Caenorhabditis elegans: one gene and its partners. The gene in region 3 interacts genetically with the main gene of each other region. Each region holds a gene or a part of one and is shown on either strand. Other genes may lie near its edges.

The links.
Region 1: of mom-5 (region 3) and ins-22, changing one enhances a phenotype caused by changing the other (phenotypic enhancement), as found in Caenorhabditis elegans (one large-scale study listed by BioGRID).
Region 2: of mom-5 (region 3) and egl-8, changing one enhances a phenotype caused by changing the other (phenotypic enhancement), as found in Caenorhabditis elegans (one large-scale study listed by BioGRID).

The regions. Positions count from the first base shown.
Region 1 is NC_003281.10:10,024,440-10,027,215, forward strand, and holds ins-22 (putative insulin-like peptide alpha-type 2), read left to right. Parts: upstream 1-1,849; 5' UTR 1,850-1,860; coding exon 1,861-2,032; intron 2,033-2,092; coding exon 2,093-2,172; 3' UTR 2,173-2,247; downstream 2,248-2,776.
Region 2 is NC_003283.11:19,357-24,035, forward strand, and holds the start of egl-8 (Phosphoinositide phospholipase C), read left to right. Parts: upstream 1-1,650; coding exon 1,651-1,734; intron 1,735-3,138; coding exon 3,139-3,500; intron 3,501-3,802; coding exon 3,803-3,938; intron 3,939-4,205; coding exon 4,206-4,289; intron 4,290-4,436; coding exon 4,437-4,540; intron 4,541-4,679. UniProt on the Caenorhabditis elegans protein: Mediates the production of the second messenger molecules diacylglycerol (DAG) and inositol 1,4,5-trisphosphate (IP3) which plays an important role in the regulation of intracellular signaling cascades.
Region 3 is NC_003279.8:9,964,033-9,970,561, forward strand, and holds mom-5 (Protein mom-5), read left to right. Parts: upstream 1-1,547; 5' UTR 1,548-1,608; coding exon 1,609-2,081; intron 2,082-2,574; coding exon 2,575-2,945; intron 2,946-3,009; coding exon 3,010-3,148; intron 3,149-3,688; coding exon 3,689-3,930; intron 3,931-4,042; coding exon 4,043-4,163; intron 4,164-4,510; coding exon 4,511-4,729; intron 4,730-5,154; coding exon 5,155-5,302; 3' UTR 5,303-6,005; downstream 6,006-6,529. Other genes in the region: tsp-7 (Tetraspanin), read right to left, coding at 6,081-6,214, 6,317-6,461. UniProt on the Caenorhabditis elegans protein: Receptor for Wnt proteins.

The DNA of each region.
Region 1 (2,776 bases), on a different chromosome or scaffold from region 3:
TAGAACAATAACCTTTAACAAGATTAACATTCTGCATTTGTTGTCATTAAGAAAAGATTATAAACAAAGTTATAGGGTTCATAATAAAATAAATAAAAGATTATGAACAATTCTACATTACGGCTTCTTGAGAACTGAAAAGGATAGCCTGGTTTACATCTCAACGGTAGATGGTCCTGGAATAAATATGCTTGTTTTTTTAAACCCGAACGGTAAAACTAACACTGAGTCGGTTGCAATTGGAAATCATTGAAAATTTTAGAAGCTAGGAGTAAAATTAATATGCAAAATTATAATTATAGTGCATCTCTGAGAGCCCATTTTCTCCTGCCGTTTGACCTTACAAATTACCAATAAGTTAATTAAGGCTGTGTTGCGAACTTTCGTGAAGTTTTTTATTAAGTTTTTCTATAGAATTTATAAAACTTTTATACCTATTTGGAAATTTTTATTTCTTCCTGTGTTTAACAAACGGCGATTCCGACAATTTTTCTGGTTAAAAATAATTGTCGTTTATTTAGAAAATCTGTAACAAAATTTAATACTCAATCAGTTGTTTCCTATTTATTCGTTTCATCCAATGTACTTATCATTAGTATATCAACATGAAGCACTACATGTAATCAGATTTATTTGCTAATAATAATAATCCATCAAAAGTCATCGTCACAATATTGTAGGACAGGAAGAGAAAACTCTTGCCATGACACAAATTGCAACGTATATATCTAAACATTTATCTTCAAAATGTTAGGCTTCAGGATCACGTGAAAAGTCTGGAATAGTATGTTAATCTCAAGCTGAAGATGTAAGAAAACTGCAAGAATTTTAAATGCAAAAAAATTATTACTTAAACTTTCTCATTTCTGAAAGAATTTGGAAGACGTTGACTAATTGTAAGTATACAGAAAATTTGAAAAGCTACAATAGGATAAAACTACAATGTCAGTCATCTTTTCTCCATAAATAGTTTTTAAAAATCTAATTTTCGTATTTTCTGGAACGAATTTGTTTTAGAAAAACGTTTTTAAAAAATTAGTCTCTAATTTTTCTATATCACAGCGGCCGGAATCTAATTTTTCTTAACAACTCTGCAATTATTGTCAAATAATAAATTTCTCACTTACTTTAGACACAATCGTCAGTAGGGAAAAAACATAAAAAAGTTATTGTTTGCATTTTTGATGCAAGCTGCCTTACTTTTGAAAAATGGAGTTGGACTTTAAGAAAAATACGTTTTAATTAATTTTTTTCATTAAACTGATGCGTTTGGTGTAGCCTCCAGAATGACTTCCTAATGGTTTGCAAACTAAAAATCAGACTTTGTTTTGAGATTTTTAAAATTTTTTTTAAATTTTCCATTAAAGTTTTGTTAAACTGTCAAATTCCCAAAAAAATTGAATTTTTGAATAATTTCGAAAATTTCTGCAGGTTCGAACTACCATGTTCCTATTCAAACAATTGGAATACAATTAGAGTATAACAATTTTTGGTCGATTTCCAAATTATTATTGAAGAGTTTTCATTACTTTTTGACTGCAAACCCTTTAAGATGAGCTATATTAAAATTTTTATTTGTTTTGAAACCCACGTATTCAAATGTCGAGCTCATTTAAACCAACTGAACTATTACATATTTTATTATTAAATTTGATGTTACAATTTTCGGCATTTACAAAAACTATATGTTCGTTTTGTTTAGTACACATATTCTTCTCATCTCCCCAGATTAGAATTGCTCAGAACAAAAAACAAACTTTCTTGCAAAAGTAGGAGGAGTCAATTGTTTGAAACCCGAGGCTCCGCCCATGTGAAACTATAAAAGAGTCTTTGATATCCTAGTACAACTAACCAACAAAAATGCACACTACAACTATTCTCATATGCTTTTTCATCTTTCTTGTTCAAGTCTCCACAATGGATGCTCACACTGACAAATACGTCAGAACTCTGTGTGGAAAAACTGCAATCAGAAATATTGCCAACCTTTGCCCGCCAAAGCCAGAAATGAAGGGTATCTGTTCTACCGGAGGTGAGATAAACTTAAACTCAAAAGCCTTGTTTGCAAATAATTATTTTTCTAAATTTTCAGAGTATCCAAGCATCACCGAATACTGTTCCATGGGATTTTCAGACTCTCAGATCAAGTTTATGTGCTGTGATAACCAATGAATGGAGCTTCTCAAATTCAATACATTACATTATTTTTCAATGAATCATATAAAGATAAAGATTGTTCACGTGTTATTGTTGTAAAAGCACAAATTTTTCAGACATAAACCGGAAACTAGAACAATAACATAGCAGCTGATAAACAAGATTGAAATTATTGAGATCTTGTGATCTAGTGGAAAGATCAAAAATCAAAACAGTCTGGAAAAAACACCACTTTCTCACTGACCGTGTCGTTATGTTTTTATAAGAAGCAGCTTAAAGTTGAAGACTTACAGGTGTTAATAATCATACTCGCAAAATTGGAAGTCGTTTTTTTTTTGCAAAAATTTCAGTCAGATTTGGTAAATTGCCAAATTTTCCAAAAATGAGAAATTTTTTGAGTAATTTCGGGTATTGCTACAGGCCTCTAGAATTTTTAAATAAAAACAATTGAAACAGAATTAAAATATTAAACTATGTATTAAACCTCACTAGAAAAAAATGTCGAACTTTTTTTAGATTGTTGAAATTATCTCAAAAAAATTTTTGACAGTGATATTTGGATATTTTTGCACAGTGGTTTTAAACAATATTTCTACAATCGAAACTCCATTTTTAATTT
Region 2 (4,679 bases), on a different chromosome or scaffold from region 3:
CAGTTAGTTAATTACAATCGTGCAATATCAGCTCCAGGCACCCTCTTTTGGTAGCGCTAGATATGTTTGAATTGTCAAAAGTGCTTGCAAAAATGACTTTTTTAACTTTGAGCGGCGCTAACTTGAGGTACGTGAAAGATACAAAAATGTAATCAATTACAATATTAACAAGCACATCAATAACTACATTTGATTAGTTGACCACTTTTTTGTATATGCACTGGTTGCTGAGCTACGATGAGTTTTAGTGGAGCTGGTCCAATTTTTCAAAACTCCTTTCTTTTCACTATATGGCCCGTAACTCCGAAACCAGTTGACCGATCGAAAAATGTTTAACTAATAAAACATTTATCTGTTTATTATAAGCATTTAATAATTTGTAAATTTTGTATGTTACTCATGTTTGCAAAGTTAAAAGCTATCAAAAAAGGTAATACACATAGTTTTGAAAAAATAGGAAAATTGTTCAATAATTGAGTTTTTCTCCCCATAAAAGAAGCGTTGACTAGGAAAAATGAATGCAATTTTTTAGTTAGCAGGTACACATTATTATTCAAAAGTATTTAGAAGTTTATCTAAGAAAAATTTTTTTTCAATTTTTTTCAAAATTTTTTTCGAAATTTTTTACAAATTTCCACATGTTTTCTTAAAGGACGCATATCTTTGCCCGAATGAAGTACATTAAAATATTTTAAATTGGAAAATGTTTATAATAAACAGATAAATGTTTTGTTAGTTGAACATTTTTCGATCGGTCAACTGGTTTCGGAGTTACGGGTCATAAAGTGAAAAGAAAGGAGTTTTGAAAAATTGGGCCAGCTCCACTAAAACTCATCGTAGCTCAGCAACCAGTGCATATACAAAAAAATGATCAACTAATAAAATGTAGCTATTGATGTGTTTGTTAATGTTGTAGTTGATTACATTTTTGTATCTTTTACGTGCCTCCAGTTAGCGCCGCTCAAAGTTAAAAAAGTCATTTTTGCAAGCACTTTTGACAATTCAAACATATCTAGCGCTACCAAAAGAGGGTGCCTGGAGCTGATATTGCACGATTGTAATTAACTAACTGTCTAATACTTCAGGGCATGTAAACTTTTTGGTTTCACAAAGAAATGAAAAAAATCGAAAAAAATTTTTTTTTTCGTTGTCACAGTTTTGAGCTGGAAATATTATTAAAGGCGCCTGATTTGACTGATATTGATAAACTTGTCATTGCTAACAGTCTTCTATATAACTACAAAAAAACATTTGAGAAAAAATCAAAACTGAGAAAAAACGACAAAACTTATTCCTTGACCTAATAGTTTTTTTGACATACAGGCATGATAAAAGTTGGAATAAATGTGGAAATTTTCTATGAAATGAGCAAAATGTGTTGACGGTTTATCTCTCTTACCTTACAATGACTCATAAATTTTCTCATTTTATTTTTCACCTGAAAATCTTGTAAAAAAACGTTTTTCAGCCAGACCCCTCTCCACACGTACTCTATATCGGCTCAACACACACGGAGGAGAGCCACGTGGCAGGGAAAGACGACGGCGCAACGTCGTCGCGTCGCCTTCTTCGCATCTTCTGAATATTTCAGAAGAAGGAGAATTATTGTAGTTGAAGACTTTATTTTTTCCTGGTAACCGGCAAGAAGAGATGGCAAAGGAGTTCCAGTTCAATTGGAAGCCCACTATTATCCCTGAACTTCTTCATGGATCGGTTTTCGATCGATATGATGATGTGAGCTTTTTTTAAAGACCTGATGTAGAGGTGTGCGGCAAATTTGCAGAGAAGGGCAAATTAAAAAAATAATAAAAAGAGATTGTCGAGTTTGCCGTACTCGGCAATTATTGAAAATTGGATATGCTCTACGAATAGATACATGAAAACTGATAAGCTCTCTTTTAATTGTCCCTTTGAAAAATCCGAGTAACGAAAAAAAAAACAAGAACTGCACGAATGCGATGTTGATCATTTTATTATTCTTAAAATCGCTTAAAGGGTCGTGGAGTCAAATTGTTTATTCCTTTTTTTAGTGATCCAAAATTGTCTGAAAACATCGAATTTCATAATGAAACTTCTTTGAAACTTCTCGGAAAAAAAAATTATGGCGCCTCAAAAAATGACAAAAATTAGATTAAAAAAAACGACTTGTCAATGTCGGAGCGGCTGGAAACTAACTTTTTTTGAAATCTCCGTCTCATAGGAGAAAACTGAGTTTTTACCACTTTTTGAATGTAAAAAATAAAAATTTGATCGTTTTTTGAAAAGTTTAGCTGAAAACCAACAAAGTTGTAAATTTTCAATTTTTATATTGCATAGTCGACTCCGTCCTATAAGTAGGGGTTCCATGCAAACGCCTGCGGCGCAGAATCCAAAAAATGTCGGCCGCAACGAACAAACCGGCTTTCGCACTATATGGTATAGATACCAAGCTTTTGACTTATCGCCATAGTGCAGCAATGAGACCCGGCGTGATGCCCTGAAACTGCCCCATGGACGTCTTAAACAATTTCCCTACTGACGATACTTCATTTTTTAACTAAAAAAGGAAACAAGCCAGCAATTTTCCTGAATACTAATCCCATTTCTTCCAATCAGTGATGATGCGTTTTTGACTAGAATTTAGGTTTCTTTGTTTGATAAGAAGAATAAAGAGCATTACAAGAGTTGCTTGTTGCTCCCGATTCACTGATAACAACTGGACGTAAGAATTAAAAAAAGAGACATTTAGAGATAGATAGATATGGCTACTTTTTTAGCTGATTGCATGAAAAAACAACATTTCCACGTGTCAGTGAACAATTTAGGTAATTTCAATATTTCGGAAGAGAACTTTGATAAGAAAATTGCTATATTGAAATTATTGAAAATGAATTGAAATTTTCTTTTTCTGGAAATAAAATTTGCTACAATATTTTCAATTATTTGATTTCTTTGCAGAGAAACTTCAATTTTCAAAAAAAAAGGTATATAAAACACCTGAAAATTTTCTGTTTCTCAAAAAATTATTATACTTTTTTTCAGAAAAAATAGCTTTAAAATATGCCGAAAGTTATCAAAAAGTTAAAATTTCCCTGAAAAATTTACAATTGGACAAACTCATAAAATTCACAATTTTTCTCACAAATTCACTTATTACAGGAAAGTACGTGTCTGGAACTAAATGCTCAAGTTCGAATTGACGAGAACGGTTTCTTTCTCCGGTGGCTGATCGAAGGAAAAGATGCTGTCGTACTCGATATGGGCCAAATATGGGAAGCTCGCACGGGCGGCCTACCCAAAGACGGCCGAATTATGTTCGAATTGGAGCAGCGCGGAGCCAGCGAAACGATAGCTGAACGCACGATATGGATCACGCATGGCCAGGATTTAGTCAATGTTCAGTCGTTTTTTCTTGTCGCCGAAAGTGTCGAGTTGGCAAAAACGTGTAGAGCGGGCATTAATGATATTCTAAAGTCGTCCAGAATACGACACGTGTGTCCAACTACCCAATTGATGAAATAGTGAGTTATTAATTTTATTTACATTTGAAAATAGACATTTTGATTCTACTGAAAACTATTCAAAAATATTCAAAAAATTGGTACACAACCTGAACTCTTAAATAGTATTGCATAAGGTGTCGGCCGCCACTTCTGAGGCGTTATCTGGCACCCACAAGGTGTCGTCTGCTACCGGTGAGGTGTCGGCTGCTACCCATAAAATATTGACTGTTACCCATGAAATATCGGCTGCTACCCATGAAGTGTCGGCTGCTACTTACTTGATTTTCTCAAAAAAATCACCTAAACATCGAATATTTCAGCCATACATGGCTCACCATGAATGTCAACGAACGACGAAAAATCCCGATCAAGTTGATAATCAAAACATTTTCGTCTGGAAAACCTGAAAAAATGGTTCAAAAGTGTCTAAATGACTTGGGTCTTGGAGGCGATAAGGTATGAGTTTTGTTTAAAAAAATGTAATTTAGAACAAAAAAAATTATTATGTATGCCTGTTGTGCTGTGCTCTGAATATTTCTCTATCCTCATTTTTTCCGATTTAATTTTTGATAGGTTTTCTCCGCAAATTTTCCACTTCAGTGCATGGCACACAAACGGCATGTTATAGTAATTTTCCAATTTTCCAAAAGAACGTATATTTCTTGAATTTTGTATACATTTCTGTGTGGTGTTTGTTGTATGTACTGGTCTCCTTTCATTTAGTACACGCCGGCACGGGTCATCAATCGATCGATGGGCAAGAAGTTTCGGAATTTCTACAAGTGCAGTCGGGGACGAAAACGAAAGGTTTGACATGTTGTGAAGCTGGGTTTTTTTTCAGAATTTTTTATTTATCGTGAATGATCTTTTTTGCATGTAGACTTTCTATCTTGAAAAAAAGTGAAAAAAGTTTTTTTTTAAGTCTAAAATTTTCAAATAAATGGTATGTTTCAGGAGCGCGAAGAACTTGACGTCGACATCCTCACCTTTGAAAAATTCCAGAGGCTCTATAACAAGATTTGTCCGAGAACCGAAGTTCAAGAGCTGTTTGTTAAATTGTGAGTTTTTCTTCTCAAAAATAAAATTACTGACTTTTTTGTTGTAATTGCAGATTTCTGATATATTGGAAAATGTATTTTTCAAAAAAAAATTGCCTTAACTAACAGAAAATGTACTATTACACCGATTATTAGTACT
Region 3 (6,529 bases):
TCGATATTAAATTTCTGGCATCTTTTTTTGAATTTCGAAAACAATTAAATTATTTATATAATTTTCAGGCTCGATTCTGCGATTTTTAGCAAAAAATACGGTACCTCTCGACGCGCCAAATTTTTGATAAATGTAGAAAGCTGTGCGCCTTGACAGAGTACTGTAACTTTAAACTTTGCTGCGGAATTTCCATCGATTTTTTATAGTTTTCCGATAGAAAATATTGATTTATTAAATAACTTGATTAAAACAATGAAAATCCATGAATTTACCTATATAAAATCAAAACAATCCGCAGCAATGCGAGTTACAGTACTCCTTGAAGGCGCAAACAAAACTTTATCGTGTCGAGACCTGGTACCGTATTTTTGGTGCAATATTTTGCGTCCTTTTGCTTAAGAATATCGTTGATTTCAGACAATTTGTTTTAAATGTTTTCTTTGCTTTCTTCAACTTAAATATTTAAAAACTAAAAACTAATTTCCGAAATGCCAAAAAATTCTACCAGTTAGGTCATTGCTCTTATCTCTTCTACAGATCGATCGTCCCCGTTTTTCTCAATTCGATTCTCATCTATATTTTCCTCAATTCTCTCCAAACAATAACAAGAATATTTTCGAAATGAATCACTGTTTGAAAATTCTTGAATCCTTCCTCCCTCATCCGTTTGCATGTTCATTGCCCATTTGACACTCGAGCAGCAGGTGGCCTGTGTCTCTTCACTCTTTTTCGATCTTTTCATTAGGTCAGTGCTCATCATCATCATTAATTACTCTCGAATTCCGAGCCGTAATTATTCTTTACTGTGTGTGTGTGCTCCGTTCTCTCGGAAGTTGCGTAACGAGAGAGTATTACAAAAAAGAGATTAGAGGCATGTTGTACAGTAATCTAAAGATTAGATTCACTTAGATACCGAAATCTACTATTCTTTGTCTTTCTTTGCCACGTTTCTCACTATAATTTCACGATTCATTGATTCGATTTAGCACTTGGAACCAATGTCAACATTACACCATTTCACTTTTTTTGAAAATTCAATGTTTTCTCATCAATTGAAGGTCAATTTATGGACCGAGTCTTCTATTTTGAATTCCAATAAAACCTTCCAAAAAATGTTTATAGAAAATGTTTCGAAGAGAAATCCCTAAATTTAGCCAAAATTTTTAATGTGTCATCTTTGCCAACTGCCGGAAAGTATTTGTGTTGGTTTTCTGATATTTCGAGAAAAAAAAAGATTTTTCGTAAAATATCTAAAATTGTTGGCCATTTTCCTCCGTTTAGAAGAATTTTTTGAAAATGTTTATCCACATCAACAACTCATTAAAAATTTCACTTTTTGTTAATTTTCTAAACATTTTTTTTCGATTTTTTCTGAAAAAGATTTTAGCTATTTACTTAAGTTCGGTTTTTTTTCCAAATTTTGCCAAAAATCATTTTTCTAGAATTTTGTTCTCTCCATTTCACAAACTATTAACTAAATAATGTTGAACTTCTTCTATACATATAACCAAAAAAACTATTTCTTTAATAATTTTTTATATTTTCAGACGAATCCTGCTATGAACTAACACTTGTCAATCTGAAATCTCTTCAAAACTATCAATTACAATGCATCGACATATTCTGATATTATTTTTATTCGGATGCTTATCAGCTGATCAACGACTCTCATCAACTTCAATTTCATCGATGAATGGATTCTCAACAACTCGAAAATGTGAACATATTACAATTCCAATGTGCAAAAATCTGGATTACAATCAAACAGTATTTCCAAATCTTCTCGGACATACAACACAATCTGAAGCTGGTCCAGCAATTGCGCAATTCAATCCATTAATTAAAGTTAAATGCTCAGAAGATATTCGTCTCTTTCTTTGTACTGTCTATGCACCTGTCTGTACAGTACTCGAAAAACCAATTCAACCATGTCGAGAATTGTGTTTATCTGCAAAAAATGGATGCGAGTCATTAATGAAAAAGTTTGGATTTCAATGGCCAGATCAATTGGATTGTAACAAATTCCCAGTAACTGATTTGTGTGTTGGCAAGAATTCCAGCGAGTCGAGCAACTCTAAAAAGTGGGTTTTCTGCATAATTTTATGAATAAGAATTTATAATTGATATATATTTACAACAAAAATTTCAAAAGTACCCAAAACATGAATTAAAGTTTAAATTTACGGGAACCGTTCTAGAATCCTTTTTTTAAATACAGCGAGAAATTAAATTGTAAATTCAGTTAAAATCATCGGTTTTGCATTTAAAGAAAAATAATAATAAATTCAGAATGGCCTGCAAAGACCGAACCTCGTAAGAGTTTTCAAAAAAAAAAAGCTCTCTGAAAATTAAATTTACGGCCGCTGTGATACTGACAAGTTTGGCTGAATTTAAGTATTATTCCGAATTTTTGAGCCCCATAAAAACTCCTACTCCAAAGCGTCAAATAGTTTTTTATCAAAGTTTTTGAATTTAGAAATTTTCCGAAAAAAATGTACATCGAGATTTCTAAATTCTTTGTTTTATCGAACAATAAAACAAGTTTCCGTAGATCGAAATATAAAATATTTCAAGTTACAGAAGTAGTAATGACGTCACATTCGGTGTTTCAACAATTGCCAACGAAGTTGTCCTTTCTCCAAAAAAATGCCCTCATCATATGCATACAACAAGCGGATCTCATTTTTCATTGCCTCTTCTCAGTGGACGCCTTCCTGAATGTTCATTAACATGTGAAGCTGACAATCAAGTACCAATGATGTTTGATGGACGTGTTCGACGAATTCTTCGAATCTGGACAGCAGCATGGTCTGTGGCATGTTTCGTGTGCTCTTTATTCACTCTTGTCACATTTCTTGTTGATTTATCACGATTCGCGTATCCAGTTCGACCGATTTTGTATCTCGCGTTCTGTTATCTAGCAATTTCTACGGTTTATATGATAGGTGAGTTGAATTTTCTGTTTTTTTTAAATCAGATTTTTTAGAAACTAAAAATGTATTTCTACAGGCGTAGTCGGTGAAGATGGATTCGCTTGTGGAACGTATGGATCTACTCCAACAACACTTGTTACGCAAGGAGGAGAAAATGTTGGATGTAGTGCTCTTGCTGTTGTTCATTACTTTTTCTTCATGTCAAGTTGTGCGTGGTGAGTTTTTTCGTTAATTTTTGTATTTTAACGAAAAAAGTACCGTTTTTTGTACCACAAATAGAAAACTGGTTTTGAAAATGTGCATTCGAAAAAAAATCGGCATGTTTTTCTTTTGTTCAAACACATTTTTCAACAAAAAAACGACAACTGAAACATTTTTTTTTTAAAGAACTTTTTGAATATTTTGATAAAAATTTTAATTTTTATAATTTCGAGTGTAATTTTTCAGAAAAAAATTACATTTATGATTTTCGACAATTTTCAGTAACAAAAATCTAAAAAATATTTTTTTTAAACCAAATTTTAAATGAAAAAAACCCCGTTTCCGGAAAATCGGAAAATCAAAAAAAAAATTCAATTTTTATCAAATTTTGTTCATGAAAAAAATGTATTTTTTCTTCAAACAAAAAAAAAACAAAAATCGAAAATTTTTGTTTTCATTGAAAAATCGAAAATCGACACCCAAATTTTTAATCTTGATTTAAACAGCTATCAGCCTTTTTAAAATGATATTTTATATACTAAGTATTCTTTCAGGTGGCTTGTACTGTGTCTAGCCTGGTTCCTGGCGGCAAATCTGAAATGGGGAGCTGAATCAATTGCTGCTCTGTCACCATACTTCCACGCAATGTGCTGGGGAGTTCCAGCAGTTCTCTCGGTTACTGTACTAGTGACAAATTCTGTCGATGGAGATGTATTTACTGGAATCTGTTCAGTTGGAAATTTGAATCCCTCTGCTCTCGTCTATTTCTTTTTCACTCCGATCGTTGTATCGTTGGGTTAGTTTTTTTGTGAATATTATGGTGGGGGAAGACCGAAATTGAATTCGTTTCGTTGTGTGTTCCATCGTTATTTATCTTCGTTTTCTTCTCAGAAATGTTCTATTTGCAGCACTCGGAGCAGTTTTACTCGTTTGTGGAATTTGGTCAATGATCCGTATTCGAAGTTATATTAAACTTCAACACGCCGATGTTGAGAGGAATATCAGTAAATTGGAGAAATTAATGTTGAGGTTCGATATTTCAAATTTTTGAAAATCTTCAAAAGTACCTGAGCTTTTTTAATCAGAAAAGAAATACTTTCGATTTTTGGAAAACGAAAAATTGGAAAAACATGTACAGAAAAAGACGAGCAAACTAGGTTTACTGATGTAGATATATTGATTTCAGTTTGGAAAGTTGATAAATTATTCTAAAACCCGAGAATTCCCTGGAAATCATTTTTTATTTAAAATTCCAAAATTTCAGAAAAAAAAAACGAAAAAATTGGATTTCCTAAGAACCGAACAAAATAAGAAAAACTTAAGAATCGCTTTTCTGATATTCGTTTCATATTATCATACAAATATTATATTTTCAGAATCGGTGCCTTCGCCATAATGTACTCTCTACCAACTGCAATGAATGCTGCAATTATGTGGTATCAGGCAGTAAATATGCCTGCCTGGCTTGAAGGATGGCTTCATCATCGATGTGTTCGACTTCAAGATCGAGAATTATTCGGTTTCACGTATCCAGTTGATGATTGTCCGATGGATCCGAAAGTTGCAGCTCCGGAGATTATTGTTTTTCTTTTAAAGTTAGTTTGAAACTGTGAATCAGTTAAATTTCAATCTGTATAATCTAAATTTGATTTTCTGATTTTTGCGCCAAAAATGCGACATCCGGTTTCGACAAGACGAATGTTTGTTAAATGCAAAAATGTATACGCCTTTAAAGAATACTGTAGTTTCAAACTCTTGTTGCTGCAGAATTTTCATCGCTTCTTGATAAAAAATATTCTTATTTAAATATTAAGCAATTCAAACACAAAAAGCCTAACATAAGAAAAACTATTCATGAAAAATCGATGTAAATTCCGCAGCAACGCGACTTCGAAGTTACAGTACTCTTTAAAGGCGCATATTCGACAAAATTGGATCGTGCCGAGACTGCATAATTTCGCGTCTAGTTAATATGAATTATTTATCTTGATTCGAAACCCCTAAATGTTCTTATTTTCAGATATGTGTCTCAATTGGTTGTTGGTATAACCTGTGCCATTTGGGTTGTCTCTTCAAAAACTCTTTCAAGTTATCACAAGGCTTACCTGGCACTCTCTTCGAGGTCACCTACTGTACCTGCTCATGTTGATCAGGTTAATATGAGGTGATAGTCTCTTCTTGTCATTTTATCCTATTTATATGTATTCTCATTCCTTTTCTCACTTTTTTCCCAACCAACTCAAATGTTTCTTTTTCTTCATTCTTTGTAACTTTTCTGACTTATTCTTATGCTCTCTCTTGCTCATCGGACGGCGCCCATCGGTCCCCTTCCTCTCACAGAATCATTCCCCAGAGCATGATCCATCTCTGTGTCTACACTCTCCTCGTCTACTCGTTGTCTCTCAATGCTTCCTGATTTGAGTTGCGACGAGCACATTTCTAAGAACCGGCTCCCAAAGATGCGCTCTTACATAGCAAAAGAGAGACAACGAGTGGAAAAGATGGTGAAAAATGATATTTTTGAGTGGAATTACATTGAAATCTGACAAAAAGGGCAGAAAGAAGCTTGAGAAAAGTCAAAAAAGAACCCCCTTCAATTCAGGTTACTGTAGATCAGTTCTCTCGCTGCCATTTTTCATGTATCTCGTTTATTCATGTTCTTAAGTTCTGTTGTCACCAGCTCCAGCACAAGGTTCACACACTTTTTTTCACACTTTGAGCACTCCAATCAGGGTAAAACCACTTTCATCCCAGTCTTTGTCTCGAATTTAGAGTTATGAATTTATTACTCATTATTTATGCGGTTGCTTATTTTTCTTCATCCTCAATTTCTTTTTCATCGTATATTCATATATAAATTATACATTATTATTATTGTTTAATTTGTGACACGGCGATTGAAAGAACCTAAAATAAGGATTGCAAAGAAAAACGGATGGTTATGAACTAATAATAAAAGTCATGGAAATCCTTGAGAATTGATTTTGAAAGACAACAAGCGAAACAGACTCCGACCAATTGAATTGCTGCCAAAACTGCACAAATTCCGCCGACCATTGCTCCATTCTTGAGCACCCATTCTGCAATTAAAAAAACAATCAAATTTCCGATAAGCCCAATCATGCTCTATTGAGAAAGTGCAACAGAGCACACTTTGATCTTCTTGGAAAAAAAAGACTAACGTTCGACACTGTGAATGCATCCGGGCTCAAAGAGTGGAGCATTCTCTCGAGCACATCCCTCGATTTCTTCAATGCAACATGAATCAGGAATTGTTGTGAATGTGAGCCAATCGGATGAATTTGTTACTCCACAACATTCAAACAACTAAAATTGAAATTAATTTGAATTTTAAATGCTGTAGTTCTACTTTAATTTTTTTTTTGGAAGTTTTG